Linked DNA regions of Caenorhabditis elegans. The protein of the gene in region 1 interacts with the protein of each later gene in a pairwise test. Each region holds a gene or a part of one and is shown in the gene's direction. Other genes may lie near its edges. The genes, in order: egl-10, gpb-1 and gpb-2.

Region 1 (8,053 bases):
AGTTTTCTAGAATAGAAACGCCATCGAATATATAATATGTTGCTTCCGTAGTCTCGACAGTATTTTTTCTAATAGTACTACACACAATTTCTCAAGTTTGGCAGCTTATATCTCAGCTGTTGTTTGTTTTATTAAAAAATTGTTAACTGAAAAATATGTTTTATTTCATTTTCAATTGTTTTTGTATTTGCATTTTTATTAAATGAGCCACAATTAAAACTTTCAGAGTGATGTAGTGGGGTGCAATATTAATAGAAGAGATACAGTATCTATTTTTCATCAAACCTGAAAAACGCAGTTTTCTATTTCCTTAATCAACATTAAAACTAGAGTAAGATAAAGCATGAAAATTTTTTAAAAGAACTAGGTATACCATGAGATATTCCCCGATCCGTTTTTTTTGACTTCACCAACGAAAATGAGTTGTAATTGTAAAATCTTGTAATATAAACGTACTTTTCATACATCATCAAACTAAATATTCCATGTCATAGATTTGTTTATAAACCTAGTTCGTCATCTAGCAAATCCAGGAATAAATCCACAAATAAATCAAAGAACGAAAGCTTCTTTTTAATCTCATTATCTTTTTTCTTTACATTTCTATTCTTTTCTGTCTAGAAATACGAATCCACTTTAATTAAACTTTTACCAACGACTACGGTATCGCTATTTTATCACTTTTTGTTCGAATCAAATAAATAGTTTGCCATGTCACAAGCCTCTCATTTCAAGTTTTCATGCACATTTCTCGGTATGCTTCTTTGGTTTTGAAAATCATCTTTCTTTAAAATATAAAAATCCTTATAATTTTGAACACTTAAATCAGTTTGTGCACCAAAAATTAAAGTTCAGTGAAGTCTAGGAAATTTCTTTTTTTCTGATCGGTTTTTTTCGTTGAAACTCCCTCCTTTGTCTTTATGATATAGTTATAGAATTTCAGATGAGTTCTTTTCAATATTTTCTAGTTTTCCTTTTGATCTTACAATGCACTGGAATTATATTTTATATTATGAAACAGATCTTTAAAAAATACTTCTTAGTGAGAAAAATACAATTTTCTCGATGTTCTAAACATTTGAGGTTTGAAGAACTTAGAAGTTAGACTTTAAAAAATATATTTTACGATTTTAACTGCATACATTTCTTGATTATTCGTTTCCTAACAAAGATATTCACATAATGCAATGCGAATTATCAGTATGCAGTCCTGTAATTAGTGGAAATTCATCCGCTTATCATCTTTCTTATACCATTCATCAGCTTATTTCCAGCTCTTTTTCAATTCATTTTACCCTTTTCTCTTTCTCTCTTTTTCAATGTGTATATGTATTCGATTCGTGTCTCGAATTTCATCCTCTTTCTACTTCTTCTCTTTTTCTTTCTTTCTTTTTGTCTCTCTCTCTCTCTCTCTCTCTCTCTCTCTCTCTCTCTCTCTCTCTCTCTCTCTCTCTCTCTCTCTCTCTCTCTCTCTCTCTCTCTCTCTCTCTCTCTCTCTCTCTCTCTCTCTCTCTCTCTCTCTCTCTCTCTCTCTCTCTCTCTCTCTCTCTCTCTCTCTCTCTCTCTCTCTCTCTCTCTCTCTCTCTCTATTTTTTCATTGGCACACTCGCACTCTCTCGACTCTCACTCACACGCTCACTCACCATCACGCTCACTCTGGGCCCTATACGTGATGTGCGCGTCTCCTTTTCCTTGTCGTTTTCTTTTCCTTATTCTTTTTCTTATACTGCCTTCTCATCTTAATATTTTCATGCTCTTTTTGCTCTTTTGTACGACATACAATTCATATATGCTCAACTCATCTTTGCAGACTTTTGTGGCTCAACACCTCGTTTCTTTTGCACCCGAACCGCACCCACGGTAACACGGATTCTGCGAGGAATGAAGGAGTAGAAGATAACGGGACATTCCCTTGTGTCAAAGTGAGAGCCAACGACGACGATCCTAAGAAGTATAAACTTGGAAGAGTATTCACAAAAGTCTTGAAGACTAAAGCTTCACAATGGCTCTACCAAGATTGAGGTTAGATTCACTTCATCTTCAAAAAAAACAGCAAAATATATTATGTTTTTAATTCTATATATTTCAAACAAAAAACGTTTAAAGATTAGTACCCAAACAAATTATTTATTCTAAAAATACAAAGAGGTTTTTTTTTTTTGAAAAGTTGTAATAAAAAAGTTTTTGTACTTTCAAAATTTCCTGTAAACTAATGAGTGAAATGATCTCGAGCAATAGTTTTTTTAAAGTTTATTTGACTGGAACGGTTTTGGGTCTTGTGAACAAGCAACTCATTACTTCATATTCATACATCTCCATTCAAATTTAATACTATTCAGTGTTAAAAAATTAATCTCGATTATCACCATGTTCAACTATCGATAGGCATTTCAATGAGATGTGAAAAGTTCTATAGAACAATGTAGAGTCTCATGATTTTTTTAATATGCAAAATAAAAACATTTGGAAAAATTGAAACTTCCGGGTTACTATATGCAAACTGTTATCATTGTAGTAATACTGCTGCGTGCTTTGAATAGTAAGTTTTTTTGCTAATTTTTGAAAAATATATTATTTTAGAAAACTTTTCAAACACTTTTAAATTTTTTTATTTACTGTTAAAAAGTAGCGATCACTCAGTTTTTTTCTTTAAATTGTTTTAATGCTCTAATTAGGCTTCAAATTCAAATTTTCACACTGTAGGGGCTGGAATATGCGACGTTGCTTTTTTCAAAAAGTCTGAAATATTTAATAAATTTGACAATCCACCTAAATTGACTTAAATTATTTGATTGATGGAAAAGTATTTATTCTTAAATTTTTTAACAGCAAAAAATAAATTTTCCTGCGGCCATTAATTTGTTGGCAGTCACATCCAGCTTTCCAAAAAAAACAACGAGGAAAATAATGAAAATCTGCACTAAAAAGTATGTTTAAAAATGTGGATTACGAACTTATCATTGAAATTTCTCGAGCTATGCATATATTTTGGCTGCCTTGATTAAAAGTACTGTAGGTCCCCTATTTACTTTTGAAGCTTATTGGTTCTAGTTGAGGTAATTTTGTCATTAAAAAACTATTGCGTAGTTCATTTCCATTCATTCGTGAATATTCTTTATTTATCTATTCGTTTTCTATGTATATGAAAATCACCGAAAATTTAGGCAATTCGTTCTTTTTTTTTTGTTTCTTTCAATGTTGCAATGTCAGTTGCTAGGTCGTCGAGAGCATTTTTTGTGCGGATGCTACTCAGCCAATTTGTCGTTCATCCGTCGCCCGGCACTAGTACTAAACACAAATTCTCATTTACATACAAACGTTTGGAGAATACGATTTAGTGGAGAAAAGCTCGTAGTCTTAGCCTTTTTCTACGCCCAAGAAAATTTTTGTAGGCTACTGCCCAATGCTTTAATCTTGCTTTCTTTTTGTGGTTTACGAAATACAAAATTCTGTAAATCCTGTAAAGGGCGGGTGAGAAGAGGCCAAGACATTGTGTCTTCTGATTTATTTTCATTCATTTTCTAAGCTTTGTCGTAGTGTGTTCAAGAAAAGATGCTACTTTCCAACTGGTAAGTCAGTGATTTTTCTTAAATATTCACATGGACATAGTGTTGCGTCAGAACCAATTTGTGATGATTGACAGAACCAAGAGCTACAACTTCCGTGAAAAATAGAAAAAAAACATGAAAACTCTGAAAATGTAGAGCGTTTTTCCATCTTGCCAAAAGTCCCAGAAGTCCTACTAAAAATCACGTGAAGTGGAGATGGGGTGCCTTCATGGGTTCAAACAAAAAAGAACAGAGAAAACGAGAAGGGCTGTAATATTTTATGTTCCTCATCCTTCTCTTTCTTCGTTTTTTCTTCTGTTTTCTTGTTGTTGTTGTCATCCGTGTGTATATTCTTTCCGCCAAGCTTGCCCGCAGCTTTTTAGAGGTTTTTTTTCGGGAAAGCTTTTTCTCTCTGTTCTTTGTGTTTTTTCCTTTCACTACATAACCAATGCAGATGTTTTGATGTTCTTCGAGAAGGAAAACTTCAGATAGGAATAGGGATAGGGAAAAAGATATGCATTGCGAAATGTAAGTGCGCCATAGAAAATAGTTAGATATTTTTGATGGTTGGTTGGAAAGAATTCAATTTGATAACATTGATCCTTATTTTTCATTTATCATGTTCCACCTTTTAAAAATTGTTACTTATAGCTTCACACTTACTAAAACTACAGCTTAAAAGCTTCAATCAAATCCATGTTGATTATTTACCAGTCAAACTGATTTTTTTTTCATTTTTTAAATAAGCTGCCAAAATGGAGCATTTGGAAACAACTATACATATATGAAATTTAAAATGTGCATATGACTATATTCCTGGACGATATCAATTTTTTTTCATGAAATCATCTGAAAACAGCTGTCAAATTCAAATTTAGTGAAGTGGATTTTTTTGAAAAAAATATATGAAAAATATTTGCAAATGTTATGACGTTTTGAGTAGTGACATCACTTCCCAAGTGCATCTCAAAAGTAATTGATGCATATAAAACACGAAACATTGTATTATTACTGAAACTTGAGATGTATCATAACTAGGGAAAACCTTACATTGATTCCAAATAATACGTGACGGGTTTACAGGGTAAATGCAAGCAACGAGGAGCGTCTTGTACATCCAAACCACATGGTGTACCGTAAGATGGAGATGCTTGTCAATCAAATGCTTGATGCAGAAGCTGGTGTTCCAATCAAGACTGTCAAGAGTTTTCTGTCAAAAGTTCCATCTGTATTCACCGGACAAGATCTGATTGGATGGATCATGAAAAATCTTGAGATGACTGATCTTTGTAAGTTGCCGCAAATATTTTGTATCGAGAATCAGAAAAATCAATTTCAGCGGATGCCCTTCATCTGGCTCATCTGATCGCGTCACACGGTTATCTTTTCCAAATTGACGATCATGTGTTAACGGTTAAAAACGATGGAACATTCTATCGGTTTCAAACTCCATACTTTTGGCCGTCAAATTGTTGGGATCCGGAAAATACTGATTACGGTGATTCTTGATTTTTTGAAGCTGAAATTAGTATCATGTTTTGTTCATGAAAAGTATTTGCTATTATTTTCAGGATCTTTGTGAGATGTTGGGCAGTTTTAGACAATTCTCATGTGATTGAAAACTCAGAGTTTGAAAACTAGTTTAATAGAATCCATTTAGCTACAATTTTAAAGTTTTTCAATAACATAAAATCAAACCATGCTGAAAACTGCTGAGAAAGCTGAGAAAGCAAAATTTTGCAAAAGCAAATATTTTCAGCGGTGTACCTGTGCAAGCGGACAATGCAGAACAAAGCGCATTTGGAACTGGAGGACTTTGAAGCGGAGAACCTGGCAAAGCTGCAGAAGATGTTCTCGCGCAAGTGGGAATTTGTGTTCATGCAAGCCGAAGCTCAATACAAGTTTGTGATATTCTCTTCTCTCTTTGCTGCATTCCGCGTGTATATATTTTTTCTCGTTCGTCGTCTTTTCGGGCGCTCGTGCTAGTTTGCAGTGCATAGCTTCTCAGTTTCCACCAACTCATCCACTTACATTGTGTGAATGCGTGAATGACGTCAAGAACGGGGAAAAGGGAAAGAAAACGAGCAAGGCAGTGGGCTCGTATCAATTTTTGACAAAAAAGGGTTTGAGAGAAGAAAAGTTCATTTTCCAAAAACAATGAAATATAAATTAGTGGGATTTAATCCTCTAAAAAATTGTATGTTTTCTTTTTCAATATGTGAATCGGAACCAGCAGAAAGTCCGGTAAAGATGTCAAAATTCATGTTTTATCAAATTTACTCGTTTTTTGAACATTCAAGTCACAACTGATAGTGATTGGGGATATCAACCAAACCTCAATCAACAACCTATTTCCATAACCTTTCTGAACACATCATTTCGGGGAAAAAACTAAAATTTTATGTGGGTGTAGTTTCTGATGACGTTATCTCTTTCTTCCGCTATTACCGATTTTCACCCAAATAAAGGGCCTGCTGTTTTATTTTTCATCTTTCGAGTTTTTTTCGAGAAGAAGAGCAAAGCACTTTTGTTGAGAATCGGTCGGACGGTGGTGAGAAGAGAAGAAGATGGATGTGAATGTGATGGAATGGAGGCGCCGAGCCAATCCAAGTAAATTGGAAAAATCGACGGCGCCGGGAGTCGGAAATAATGATGATGAAGACGTAAAAGAAGGGGTGTAGATAGATCGAGAGTAAGGAAGAATAAGAAAAAAACAGAAGAAGAAGAAGGCGTGCTTTCCCCTTTGGATTAGATGCAAAAAATCGGCGGGAGCTCATTCCATTCCTCCGTACTTTTACTACAACTTCCTCCACATTCCTAAAATTCTTCTAATCTTCTGACCATCAGTATTGTGTTTTGCTCCTGCCCAAAGATGGGTGGTTTTCGAAGACTTCGTCATTTATTTTTTAAAAAGACTCCAGATGAAAAAGAAAATAAAAGATCGTCAACTGACGAACAAAAGTGGGTTCACAATAATCATATTTTGAATTGAAGGAAACAAATCTCAAACATTATACTTATTTTAATTGAAAAAAAAAGAACCACTGTCTTGCAAAACTTCTTTCTTTATCTATTCTTGATCTTGCAAGTTCTAGCCCATACTAATTAGTGAGCGTTGCGCGTGTTTTATCAGGCATTCTACGCAACAATAAATCCAGGACACTCAGGGTCGACAAGAAGCGAGATCGCCAGGAGCGCCAAATTCTTGACAGTCAGGAACGTGCTTTCTGGGATGTTCATCGTCCAGTGCCAGGATGTGTAAACACTACAGAAGTCGACTTCCGGAAGCTTTCACGGTCTGGAAGGCCCAAGTACAGTAGTGGAGGACACGCAGCATTGGCCGCTTCAACGTCGGGTATCGGTTGCACTCAGTATTCACAAAGTGTGGCAGCAGCTCATGCGAGTCTTCCATCAACATCAAATGGGAGTGCAACATCTCCAAGAAAGAACGATCAGGAGCCATCAACATCAAGTGGGGGTGAATCTCCATCAACATCGTCTGCTGCTGCTGGAACTGCCACAACATCTGCACCATCAACATCAACGCCTCCGGTGACAACTATTACTGCGTAAGTTAAAATTTTCAATTTTCAGATATAAATTCTTTATTTGAAAATTTTCAGAACGATAAATGCAGGATCATTCCGAAATAACTATTACACAAGACCTGGATTACGGCGGTGTACACAAGTACAGGATACGTTAAAACTGGAAATTGTGCAATTGAATAGTCGATTATCAAAAAATGTATTACGTACATCTAAAGTTGTAGAAAAGTAAGCTTTAATAGATTATTTTTAAAAGATCAATATTGTTTTCAGTTATTTGGCATATTACGAACAACGTCGAGTATTTGATCCACTGTTAACGCCTCCTGGATCTCAGGCTGATCCTTTTCAATCACAGCCTAATCCATGGATTAACGATACTGTTGATTTTTGGCAACATGATAAAATGTGAGTTTCTAGAGTTTTTTTGCCGAATGTCACGTTTCAACTAAAAATTTTCAGTACGGGAGACATCCAAACCCGCCGACTCAAGCTTTGGGAGGATAGTTTTGAAGAATTACTTGCTGATTCATTAGGTCGAGAAACTCTTCAAAAATTCCTTGACAAAGAATATTCTGGAGAAAACTTGCGGTTTTGGTGGGAGGTACAAAAGCTGCGAAAGTGCAGTTCAAGAATGGTTCCAGTTATGGTAACAGAGATTTACAACGAGTTTATCGATACAAATGCGGCAACGTCGCCGGTCAATGTGGATTGTAAAGTGATGGAAGTGACCGAAGACAATTTAAAGAATCCAAATCGGTGGAGTTTTGATGAAGCAGCGGTGAGTATTACATTATAGTGAGCAGTTCGGGGATGGGAAAATATCATTTTCGGCAAATCTACAATTGAACTTTTTTGACATGGCGTTCCAATATTTTTCATTGAAATGTGGAGCAAGAGTATAGAAAAATATATTCGAATTATTAGAAAAAATAGTTTGATTAAAAAGGTGTTCCA
Region 2 (7,001 bases), on another chromosome or scaffold:
AAAGCCATTAATCTTCGATGGCAGTCTGGCTCGGTCAAAATTGGCCTATTTTTGTCTGAGAACTTTGTACAATTTTATTGGTTAAAAATGCTCGCACCACCTGCTGGAGGGCACCAGATGTCCCCTCGCCCAAAGCAATTAGAATTCTGCATTTAGCAAACAAAAGTTGAATCAATAATTCGCAGATCCAATGGTAGGAGAGAGAAAGAGTGAGCCGCGCCTTCTTCGCACAGATATATATTAGCTTTTGTCACGTTTTGCGCTCCTACCTGGGAGAGCCCAAGGTATTTGAACACGGAGAGCAATATGTTCCCTCAAAACTCAAATACCTGTGCCCCATCATTTCCTTCCTTAATTCCCTCATTTCATTCGACATTTGTGGTATTCAGTTTCTTTTCTTTCTTTTTTGTCATTGTTTTGTTCTTCCGCGCCACACACACACACACAGACCAACACTTTTACATTTTTTCCCGCCCGCTCCCCTTTTCCATCCCGCTTGGTCTGCGTCTCAAGGTTTGGTTTCTTTCTCGTACAGTGTTCCGCTCTCACGCCAGTTTCTGAATCGATCTATTGATTTTTTGAAAGTTAAAAATTTTGCTTAAAATTTCTGAAGCTTATGATTTTGGTTTGCAGACCGTCATTCTGTACTTCCTGATCAGCAGCTTGGTCTCACCGTCTTTGCCAAGTTGACGTCGGTCGAGGGGTTTTAATTAAAAGGGTTAGTGATATAGATTTCTTTCTAGTAGGTTTTTCATGTTTTGATCAAAAACATACCTTTAGTTTATTCTTATTTTATTATCTCACCTATAGGGATCCCTAGAGCTAATAATCTACTTCCAAAGTTCCTCTCTAAAGAATTAAATATTTTCCCGTCTAGTTATCGATTTTAGAATCGAACTATTTTATTAGATAAGTAAGACCAAAATGTGTTGTTTTTTCAAATATAGAATTCTGGAATCACTTATTTTTAAATTGAAAAAAATCCATTTTTTTCAAATTTTTGATTTTTACATAAATTACTTGATTACAATGAAACAATCAATAATTTTCTTCATTTTTTGATTGGTTTTCGCATTGAATATTCAATTTAAAACTTATTAATTAATTAATTAAATAAAAACAAAAAACATTGCGCGGCAATTAGCATGTGCTGGCCTACCGTAGTTTCTGCAAACACCGTGACGTCAATATGCACACTGTTGTTTTTCTTTGATTTTCTTTCCTTTTTTGACCTTTTTATCTTATTTTTTCTTATTTTCTCCACAGAAAATCTCTAAAAGCTTCGAAAACTTGAATTATTTTAACGATAAATTTAATTCCTTCATGAAAATAATCAAATTCTTGGAAAAAATCGATTTTTTCTGCTATTTCCTTCAAACTCTTTTTTTCTATCCAATAATTCTTAATTCACGCTTTTTTTTGCAGGCCCAGTTGTCGAGTGCAAGAACAAAGGCCACGAAGACGACGAATAGAGCAGCGCCGCCGTCGAAAACGCGAACACCGACCAGGAGCAGCATTAGCCGCAGCCGCATCCGTCGACACTTCCATCAGTACCATCCTCCGGAGCACGCACCACCACCAGCAGCAAGATGAGCGAACTTGACCAACTTCGACAGGAGGCTGAACAGCTGAAGTCGCAGATTCGGGTGAGTAAATCTGTGTTTTTTTTTATTTTTTAAAATATTTTTTAAACTAATAATTGCAGTAATCTCTCGTTCCAGAGCATGGTCTAGCAATTGTTTGAATATGCGAAATATGAGAAATACACGCATTTATATATTTATACACACACATATACACACATACATATACAAATTGTTGGTAATAAGTAAAGCGCTCCCCTTCCAACGATGCCGCCGCCGCCGCCATCGGCGTTGTTTTTGCGCCGTACTTGAGGGGACGTGCTGCTGCACTGGATGTGTATAACACGATGGTCGTCGTCCCCCAGCCGTCGTCGTCTTCTTTTCTTCTTCTTCTACCCGCCATCGCCGCTGCAAAATATCGATCAGTAGCAGAAGTTGTTGCTCCACACACGCAGGCCGCGGCGAGCCATTGGCCGAGATGGGGTCGCCCCTGGTGGGGGCACTGAGACGAGGAGAAGCTGGAGCAGCAGCAGAAGCAGCGAGCGAGCGAGGAGAATAGATTGGCTGCCTAATGTGAGATTGTCGGCGTCTCCGGCTCTTGTTCCACTATTTTCCCGGGGCCCCGCCGCCGAATGCTCTCAATTTCTGCCGCTACTGCTGGCCAAGAGCACGAGAGAGAGAGAGAGAGATCTCTCGCAGTCTCTCTTCTGCGCAAGCTCCACTCGTGTCGTAGTGCGCCATTCTCCCTTGAGGACTCTGCTGCCGTCGTCGTCGTCGTTGTCGTTGTCATCGCGTCGCTCACTAGAATTGGTGGTAGCTCCTGCTCCGACGAGCACTCACACACACACACATGGTTGTGCGTGTGCGCGAGCACAAAATGTTGCGCGGGGTTTGGTGAAGCTCTCGTGGTGCTGAAAACGGGGTGAGCTGGCCTGGAGCGAGGAGGGGCAGCAGAGATAGAAAATACACTGAATTGGTGTTAATTAAATGCACAAAACATTTATGGAAGTGGAAGATTTTTCGCTTCAAAAATACAGTCCCCGGTCTCGAAGCGACAAATTTTTGTGAAAAGATTACTGTAATTTCAAATTCGGGAATTTTCAGCAATTTTCCATATTATGTGGACGTCTAAAAATGAGAGGTTCTGATCCCCCATGTCGATTTACGGGGCACTATTGCATCATCTCAAACTGTCCATTTAATGTGTTTAATGTATGCAAAAATATGTAATAACAGCCCGTAAATCGACAATTCGTGGCGAGACTCATGTGGCAAAAAACCTCATATATATCCGTCTAGATAATAGTTTTTCTCTCGATTTTATAAAAATTTATGTTTTTTAGTTGAAAACTATGAAAAATCGATGAAAATTCCTAGAGTGGAAATTACAGTAATTTTTATAAAAATTTAAGGCCCGAATTTACAGATTTTGAAGTAAAAAGTTGTAAAAACCAATAATTTGAAGTTTTTCATAATTAAAAAAAAAACAAAATAAATTAATTTTTTGCAGGAAGCCCGGAAATCAGCAAATGACACAACACTGGCCACCGTCGCTTCAAATCTGGAGCCAATTGGCCGCATTCAGATGAGGACGAGACGTACGCTTAGGGGACATTTAGCCAAGGTAGGGCTTTCAGACTTTTTCTAGTCATAAAATCGATAAATTTTGCAGATTTATGCAATGCACTGGGCATCAGACAGTCGCAATTTGGTGTCAGCTTCACAAGACGGAAAGCTCATCGTTTGGGACTCGTACACCACAAATAAAGTGAGTTTTTTTTGACGATTTTCAATTGTTTTTTTTTTGATAAAAAAAGAAAAAATTTAAAGAAATTAATTTGCATTTTTTTTCCAGGTTCATGCAATTCCCTTGAGATCATCGTGGGTGATGACTTGTGCCTATGCTCCATCGGGATCGTTTGTCGCTTGTGGAGGTAAGCTGAAGGATTACTCATTGTATTCAAATTTTCCGGAGAGATTACTGGGAAATCTGGGTTTCTATTGAGAATTTGAATCTCGTAAATCTACACGAGCAAAATTCAAATTTTTTAAAATAAAAAGTAACAATTCTCAATTTTTCCAGGTCTCGACAACATTTGCTCAATTTACTCGCTGAAAACACGCGAGGGAAACGTGCGGGTGTCTCGTGAGCTTCCAGGACATACTGGATACTTGTCGTGTTGTCGATTCCTTGATGACAACCAAATTGTCACCTCTTCCGGAGATATGACTTGGTGGGTTTTTTTTTTGAAAAATTTCATTTTTTTTAATTAAAGAAAAATCCTATAAAAAATCATAAATTATCAACTAGTTTCTACTTTTCATTTTTTTTTTTCCGCGTAATTTGAGCATCAGTGTATAGCCAGAGCACACAAAAGTAGAAGAAGTGCGAAGGAGAAATTCGGATGTTGAATGTTGATGAGTTTGTTTTCAAACTGGGCTCTTTTTGTGCCGCTTGATGAAATTGAGGTGGAGAGAAGCAAAGAACGTGTGAATAAAAGACAGAAAGAGCACAAAAGTCGGCCCGCGAAAAATGTAAATTTTCGGACTTCAAAATTTTACAAGTCTATTGTTAAATTGTGATCTCTAGACGTGTAGTTTGTACTTTGAAAAGTTTAAAAAAATTCCAGTTTGAAAATGTAAGAAAGATTTCAGATAACTTCCAAAATTTATCTCGTGATTCTGCAAAATTTCAGATTTTTTAAAGCCACACGCTATTTTCCGATTGGGTCTCGCCACGAAAAAAAAAGAAGTTTGTAAAGTTTCAAATTCTAAAGTGCAAATTGCATTTTAGAGTTTAAAATTTCATTTTCTACACCAAATTAACAAATCTGAGAAATTTGGCGCCTGTAGCGGCCACTATGATCGTGGCGAGACCCACTTTTCAAACCGGCATGTGCCTTTAACCTCTACCATATCATATAATATCACTTTTTCGTAAATTATCCTAATTCTCCAATTTTTTTTCCAGCGCTCTATGGGACATTGAAACCGGACAACAGTGCACCGCGTTCACCGGTCACACTGGTGACGTCATGTCGCTTTCACTTTCTCCAGACTTCCGCACATTCATCTCAGGAGCCTGTGACGCTTCGGCGAAGGTATAGGATTTTTGAAAAGTTGATTTTTTTTTAAATTTTTTAAATTTCAGTTGTGGGATATCCGAGACGGCATGTGCAAGCAAACGTTCCCAGGACACGAGTCAGACATCAACGCTGTTGCCGTAAGTTTTATTATTTTGAAGATTTTTCAAAAAAAAATCAATTTTTTGCAGTTCTTCCCATCCGGAAACGCGTTCGCCACCGGATCCGACGATGCGACATGCCGATTGTTCGACATTCGTGCTGATCAGGAACTTGCCATGTATTCTCATGATAATATTATTTGCGGAATCACTAGTGTCGCATTCTCAAAATCGGGTCGCCTGTTGTTCGCCGGATACGACGACTTCAACTGCAATGTTTGGGATTCGATGCGACAGGAGAGAGCTGGTGAGTGCCTTTAGCTCCTTTTTTTGAAATTTTCCAAGTTGAAAGTGATGAAAAACTAATTGTTCTTCCAATTTCAGGAGTATTGGCTGGTCACGATAACCGAGTTTCTTGTCTAGGAGTCACCGAGGACGGTATGGCCGTGTGCACAGGATCATGGGACTCGTTCCTCAAGATCTGGAATTAAGAAACATCAAATGTCTTCCTTAATTATTCTCCAATTATTGATTGAATGATGATGACACTACGTGGCAATTTTTTTCCCCATTTTCCCCAATTTTTTTCCGCTCTTGAAACCCCCCTGTTGTTCTCATTCTTTCGTCGCTATCCGCTATCCCGGCGCCCTCTTCCGCGTGCCCGGATCTCTTTTTCTTCTCTCACCTCTTCTCATCGCTTTTTGTTCGGTACTTTCTAGTCTCTCTTCAATCGCCCTCCCCATATTACTTTCCTTGACGTTTGTTCGAATTTTCTCATCAATTTTTTTTACTATGTGAAAATTATTATTATAGCAATTCTCAACTCTCTCTCTCTCATTTATTTTTATTTCACATTTTCTGTGTCTCCCCGCCCCCCGCGAAGCTTAATCTTTCTTCCTCTTTCACCACTCACTTTAGTCACAGACACATACACATGCGCGCGCTCTCTTTCTCTCCCCGATCGTATTCTACTAACATGATATTCATGCTACGACAAAAAATTTTATATATATGTAAGACAAATTTGTGCTCGGCGAGCAAGATATACAGTGATGGAGCCACGCGCGCGGAGTACAATTTTGAAATCGAAAAGCGAACGCCACGCGCATCACTAATCCTAAAACCCCCACATCAAGAAAAGCACAATATGAGATCCATTCTAATTATTATTTCCTCCCGATATATAATTATTTAAGCTTCTTTTTTTCTCTATTTCTGGTATCATCTTCTCTCATTTCTCGTCTTCTACACTAATTTAATTGACTCCCCCCACAAATCTTCACCTCTTTTTTTTGTCTTCTATGTATCCCATCGATCCCTTTCCAGACCGTTTTCAACTTTTTCACACACACAAAACCCCCTAAGTTTTTTTTTCTAATTTCTTTTAATTCTCCTACCACCGTGATTTTGTAAGTTCTTCCGATCGCAAAATTAAAGATAAAAAAGTTCTCATTTATTCGGATAGCTGCCACTTCTTTTCCTCTCTTCTCCCCCTCAACCCCCCACATCTGTTTAATCCATCACAATTCTTGAAAAATGAACATCCCCCATCCCCCCATCTCTTCTTTTCCCCAAAACACCCAAAAAATCTTATTTCCCTTTTTATTCTTTTTTATTGTTTCAATTTCCAAATTCTTATAAATTGCTGGAACCTTATAACCTCTTGTGAGCTCAGTTTTTCAGACATTTATTTCAAAATTATTATCATTGTTCTCCTAACGATTAGAAGGCCTTGTTGAACAGGAACGATTGGATGATGTGCTCGGCGACGGCTGGCTTGTCGGTTGGTACCATGTGTCCGGCTCCGCGAACAGTGGCGAATGTCACCTGGGATCCCTTGTACTGTGTCACGTATCCACCGATTTGACCCTTCACAGTGAAGTGGGTCTTCTTCTTGGAGAGCTGGAAATTAAATTATGGAATTTTTACAAAACATTAAAAATCTTGGGTCTCGCAGCGATTGAGAGCTTATTGTTTAAAAATACGGTACCCGGTGTCTCGACACGACAATTTTTATGAATGCAAAACGATGTGCGCCTTTAAAGAGTAATATTTTCAAAAAAATAATTTTCGATGAAAAATCCGCAGCAACGGAAGTTTGAAACTACAGTACTCTTTAAAGGCGCACAGCTTCGCTCATTCAACAAAAATTTATCGTGTCGAGACCCGGCGCCGTATTGTTTGGAAAAACTTTGGGTCTGGATAATATATAGATATCTTTTTATTGAAAAAAG
Region 3 (5,264 bases), on another chromosome or scaffold:
AGCATAACGAGCAATTGGTACGTATCACTGTAGGGGTTCTTGTTGCAGTGACGATTTTTGGTATGCCGGAAGGATTATTGGTATAATTGTTGGAATATGCCTATTGCTCTTTTGTTGTTGCTTACCATGTGTGTGTATTGCTGGAATTTGGTTCGCTGGATGGTTTGGGCTCAGAGGAAAAAATCAAAGAAAGAATACTCAACAAGGTATTTCAACTTGTCAATTTTAATTTTTCCAGTGGATATATTCTAGACAAAATTGCATTTCAGTTCAATCAAATTTCTTGAATTTCATAGATTTGAGACATTTCTAACTGCTTCACATACAAACTAAAAAATTCAGTAAAAATAGCCAATATTTCAGTTTAGTCTCATCTCCTATCATTGCCCAATCTGCTCCTGTTCCAATTCCTGTCAATTATGATAATATTCCTGGTAATGCTAATTATATTCAACACACTCGTCAAGCTCCACGTCAAATCCACGTGGACTCATCACCAAGAGATTCTGAAATATCTCGTGTCATGGTTCCTGGTGATCAGGTCATGTTCTCTGCTGAAGATCGTTATTATACCTCGTCGACGGCTCCGGCAACTGCTCACCGACCTGATGCCTACAATGTTTCTCGATATTAATTTTTCTGTCTTTCACTTTTTCTGCTTGTATATTACGCTTGAATAAATATTTTGAGTCTTAAAATTATTGGCACTGAAACTACCGGTGTACAAGAAGTGTCTTACAGCTACAGCTAGTCTAGATTTCTGGTTTTAGTGGGGAATTTATTTAAACCACTTCTATAGTGATAACATTGTTAATTATCAATATCATAGTAAAGCTTTTCAGAAAAAAGTTGAATATGTTTATGCGCTGTCGAAAAGTGGTAAATTCTCATTTTCACACATCATAACTCTGCAAGTAGACAGAAAAATATGTTTTATACGAGTTTCCTATTTTTCTTATGCCTTTTTTTATTATAATATTGTAGGTTTTAGAGCATTCCACAATGCTATTCCCTGCGAAGGATAAAGTTGCAAAAATTTGACAATTTTCCATAACTTATTTTTTCAAAAAACCTAAAACGATTGTGGGACTTTTTAAACTGGTTTTACTCAACTTTTAAGCTAACCTAGCACTTTTTTATAATTAATTTCACTTCACAAAAACCATCAAGACATGTGCATTGCCTAATTTTAACTCATCCCGTTCTTCGAGCCACTCTCTTTTCCACATCTCTTCCGTCTCTTTTCATCTTTTTCCCAGAAACCGCGACGCGACCGCATTGCATTCTCTTTCCATTGCAAAAAGGACCGCTCGGCAAAACGAGAAAAGAAATAGAGAAAATAGTGAAGAGGGAGAAGCGAGACATAGCGGAGTAAGGCACGCAAATAGAATTCATTGCACCATGATTTCGGGCCCTCGACGGCTTTTTGTCGTGGCGAATATAGTTTTGTCTTAATCAATACCATCAAATTTATGATAATTTAATGATAATGTAGCCACATCCATCCTATTTTTGAGCATGTTCAACAGAATAACTTTGCAAAAAAGGCTTTTACTTTTATTTTTTATAAACGTTACTTATAAAATGTGTGAAACTCCGATCATTGCAAAACCTTAGGCAAATATAAATTAATAGTAATGGTAGTACGATATTTTGAATTACCTTATCAACATGTTTTTGGTTTAAAATCAAATTCTTTTTACATTGTGCTCGTTTCAATTGTGCCAAACTGTTGTCTAATTTGTTGTTTCAAATAAAAAATTAAAATCCAAAATCATGTAAATGATCTTGATCTTCCTATATATTTCTTACATTTCTAGGCATGTCCTTTAAGAATTTGGCTACTTCAAACTTATTTTTTTAATAGCAATGTTTCAGGAAAAATGTGCCTCTAAACCTCAAACAAACCGCCCATCTCTAATTGTTCTATTCAAATTCATTTTCTTCAACCCTCAGTCTTCTCTTCCTTTTTTTGCATAATTCGTCTTCTGATCTCAAAAAGAAACGCAATTTGAATGAGCACCATTGCTGGAGAATCGTCTTCCTCGTCGAAAATGCCAGAAAACTCTCAGCCAACAACAACCGAAAAAGGGTATTTGTACATTTTACATTACAAAGGGTTACACTACATTATTTCAGATCGGAATATTTAGAACAATTGGCAAATGAAGCCGAAGAGCTTAGAAAGAAATTGGATCAAGAGAGGCACAAGCTTAATGACATTCCTAGTAAGTATTTGAAAAAAATTAAAAAGATAATTTATTAGAATACTTCAATTTAAAAAGAGGGACTTTGAAGAAGAACACTACTAAAAAATTGAACTTTACAATTCCTAGGTTAGAAATCCTCCGGAGTCTTTTTTCTTTGTTTTTTTATTGAAAAAATAAACTTTTGAATTAAAAGCTCACAATCAGTGAGGATATTGAATAAAAATATCAATGCGGTTCTTCATAACCGAATATTATAATTGCCCAAATATCAATACACACCAAAAATTACGTCTAAGTTTTGGTAAATTGTCAAATCTAGGTGAAGTTGGACTTTTTGAGAACTTGTTTGACTGAAAAAAGTTGAAAAAAGTTTTTGAAAACTTTAAAGAAATTTGAGTTAAATAATTTGATGAACAAAAAGATACCAGATATGCTTTGTGATATTTGCATAATTCTAAATGTTTTCTCTTTGACTTTTTTGAGGTTATGCCTAATTTACTATTACCAAGAACTACAGTAATCCCAAAACGCACTAAGTAGTTTTTTACATCCTAAGTAATTTTCAGTTCAACAAGCAGCCGAACGACTTGACGTTATGGGAGCTCTTGGTGTAAAACAGCGTCGAATTTTAAAAGGACACGTGGGAAAAGTATTATGCATGGATTGGTCATTGGATAAAAGACATATCGTCTCTTCATCTCAGGTTGGTTTAAAATATGACTTACAAAAGATTCAGTAGTCTTCAAAAATTGAAACCTCGATTTCTAAAATGAATTTGCTCAAATTAGTAAATTTTAGGACGGGAAAGTGATTGTATGGGATGGATTTACTACGAATAAGGAACATGCTCTTACGATGCCAACAACTTGGGTTATGGCATGTGCATTCTCTCCATCGAGTCAAATGATCGCTTGCGGGTAAGATTTCTTTCAAATACTTCAAAGCTTTCAAAAAATACAAACGGTAGTACACGGACTTATAGTGTTCATGAGAATTTATTGTTTTTTTTTTCAAATTATAAAAGAGCTCTTACAGACGGAATTTTCAAAAATTGGCTCATGTATACTTTACCAATTTTGAAGCTTTCATGTTATTAATTAAAAATTTTTATTATTATTTTTTGAATTTTCAAAAATTCCAATTTTACAGAGGACTTGATAATAAATGCAGTGTCGTTCCACTTTCTTTTGAAGATGATATAATTCAAAAGAAAAGACAAGTAGCAACTCATACTTCTTATATGTCATGTTGTACATTCCTTCGTTCGGATAATCTTATTTTAACTGGAAGTGGAGATTCAACATGTGCTATTTGGGATGTTGAAAGTGGACAACTTATTCAGGTTTTTTATTCTCGCGAATCGGAAACCCAATTCAAAAATTCAGAATTTCCATGGTCATACTGGTGATGTATTTGCAATCGATGTTCCAAAATGTGATACTGGAAATACATTTATTTCCGCAGGAGCTGACAAACATTCTCTTGTATGGGATATTCGTTCAGGACAATGTGTACAATCATTTGAAGGACATGAAGCTGATATTAATACTGTTCGATTTCATCCAAATGGTGATGCATTTGCAACTGGATCTGATGATGCTACTGTAAGTCACAAGTGTTTAAACTTCTTCATTATTGAAAATTGGAGAAGGGATGGGAAATTATGGAAGCCTTGCACGACCATGTGTCGAATTACGCAGCTAGTGTACTCCTCGAGAAGAAGTGACAATATGCCCACTTCTCCTCGGGGAGTACACGAGCTGCGTAAATCGACACATGGCCGTGCAAGAGAATCTTAATTAAATTTCACGGTTATTCTTCCATTTTTCGAAAATTATAGTTTGGGAGAAAGTCGCGAGAGTTGCTTGTTTTGTCTGAAAATATTACTTTTTCCAGTGTCGCTTATTCGATCTTCGAGCAGATCGTCAAGTATGTGTGTATGAAAAAGAATCAATCTTGTTCCCCGTAAATGGAGTCGATTTCAGTTTGAGCGGTACGTTTAAATCTTCACAAAAACGTATAGTCCAAATCAATTCAATGCATCTCTGAAATTCACAGAACTAAACTTTTCACTCTAACTATTAAAAAATTACAGGTCGTATTCTATTTGCTGGTTATGGTGATTATCGTGTCGGTGTATGGGATTCGCTGAAATGCGCCCGTCATTCAGTACTTTATGGACATGAGAATCGTATTAGTTGCCTCCGAACTTCTCCTGATGGAACAGCCGTCTGCTCGGCGAGCTGGGATTGCACAATTCGCATTTGGGCTTGATTATTTAATATTAATTTTTCTCTTACAATTTTTGAGCTTTATGTCACTTTACTCATCCCCCTTCCCACCAGTCTCTATCCCTGTACTATTATCTAACCATCCCACTATTTTCTCCTATCTCAACTTTCTAGTCACAAATACTGTAAAGTACTCGTTCATTGCTGAATGATGTAAATAGAATTCACTAAATACACCTGTTAAAATACAATTCAAAAAGGCAAGGGTGAACTGTGAGGAAAGGAAAATTACATAACAAAAAAGAAAGAAGTGTGGAAAGTAGAGTATTCAATGAGCAACGTATGGCAAATTATCAGAGAATATTAAAAGGAAGAAATTCAGTGAATTGGTTATAAAGAGAAAAGTGGAAATTTTGATAAAACTGTTGCCCCGAAGATTTGATGAAGAAATGTGAAAATTATAAGTCAAATACTTATGCGCAGCAGAAGCATCTGACGCAGTTGATGATGATCGAGAGAATCGTGCAGACGGCAAGGAAGAGAAGAAGAACAGTAACCCAATCCTGAAAGAAACAAATTTAGAAATTAACATATTTAAATTTCAGCAGATCTTTTGAAAAATGAATTATTACCTGAAGACGGAAGCAACACTGATCAGCAATCTGTCCGCAGCACTTGAAGTACCAGAAAACGTTCTCTTCTGGGCAAGCTTGTCCGACAACTGGAAGTGGGCATGCCAATGGACTCCTTCTGATCGTGAGTGGCTCAATCGATTTGACGTAGTCGAGAAGATCATCTCCTTCGGCACTGACTGATGGGGCAC

Evidence for each region.
Region 2: the proteins of egl-10 (region 1) and gpb-1 interact in a two-hybrid assay, tested with the Caenorhabditis elegans proteins (one study listed by BioGRID).
Region 3: the proteins of egl-10 (region 1) and gpb-2 interact in a two-hybrid assay, tested with the Caenorhabditis elegans proteins (one study listed by BioGRID).

What each region holds. Positions count from the first base shown.
Region 1 is NC_003283.11:12,456,766-12,464,818, reverse strand, and holds the start of egl-10 (Regulator of G-protein signaling egl-10), read left to right. Parts: upstream 1-2,002; coding exon 2,003-2,022; intron 2,023-4,631; coding exon 4,632-4,837; intron 4,838-4,887; coding exon 4,888-5,046; intron 5,047-5,307; coding exon 5,308-5,449; intron 5,450-5,483; exon of another isoform or gene 5,484-5,622; intron 5,623-6,715; coding exon 6,716-7,117; intron 7,118-7,171; coding exon 7,172-7,324; intron 7,325-7,369; coding exon 7,370-7,504; intron 7,505-7,558; coding exon 7,559-7,877; intron 7,878-8,053.
Region 2 is NC_003280.10:11,742,236-11,749,236, reverse strand, and holds gpb-1 (Guanine nucleotide-binding protein subunit beta-1), read left to right. Parts: upstream 1-1,586; 5' UTR 1,587-1,589; coding exon 1,590-1,646; intron 1,647-2,176; exon of another isoform or gene 2,177-2,314; intron 2,315-3,093; coding exon 3,094-3,207; intron 3,208-3,255; coding exon 3,256-3,351; intron 3,352-3,438; coding exon 3,439-3,517; intron 3,518-3,666; coding exon 3,667-3,817; intron 3,818-4,554; coding exon 4,555-4,684; intron 4,685-4,734; coding exon 4,735-4,806; intron 4,807-4,857; coding exon 4,858-5,074; intron 5,075-5,151; coding exon 5,152-5,258; 3' UTR 5,259-6,426; downstream 6,427-7,001. Other genes in the region: Serine carboxypeptidase ctsa-1.2, read right to left, coding at 6,490-6,669.
Region 3 is NC_003279.8:7,317,700-7,322,963, reverse strand, and holds gpb-2 (Guanine nucleotide-binding protein subunit beta-2), read left to right. Parts: upstream 1-1,878; 5' UTR 1,879-2,015; coding exon 2,016-2,092; intron 2,093-2,139; coding exon 2,140-2,228; intron 2,229-2,776; coding exon 2,777-2,913; intron 2,914-3,008; coding exon 3,009-3,127; intron 3,128-3,359; coding exon 3,360-3,552; intron 3,553-3,595; coding exon 3,596-3,814; intron 3,815-4,106; coding exon 4,107-4,203; intron 4,204-4,305; coding exon 4,306-4,484; 3' UTR 4,485-4,674; downstream 4,675-5,264. Other genes in the region: F52A8.3 (uncharacterized protein), read left to right, coding at 49-206, 369-634; F52A8.1 (DUF2650 domain-containing protein), read right to left, coding at 4,915-5,004, 5,074-5,264. UniProt on the Caenorhabditis elegans protein: Guanine nucleotide-binding proteins (G proteins) are involved as a modulator or transducer in various transmembrane signaling systems.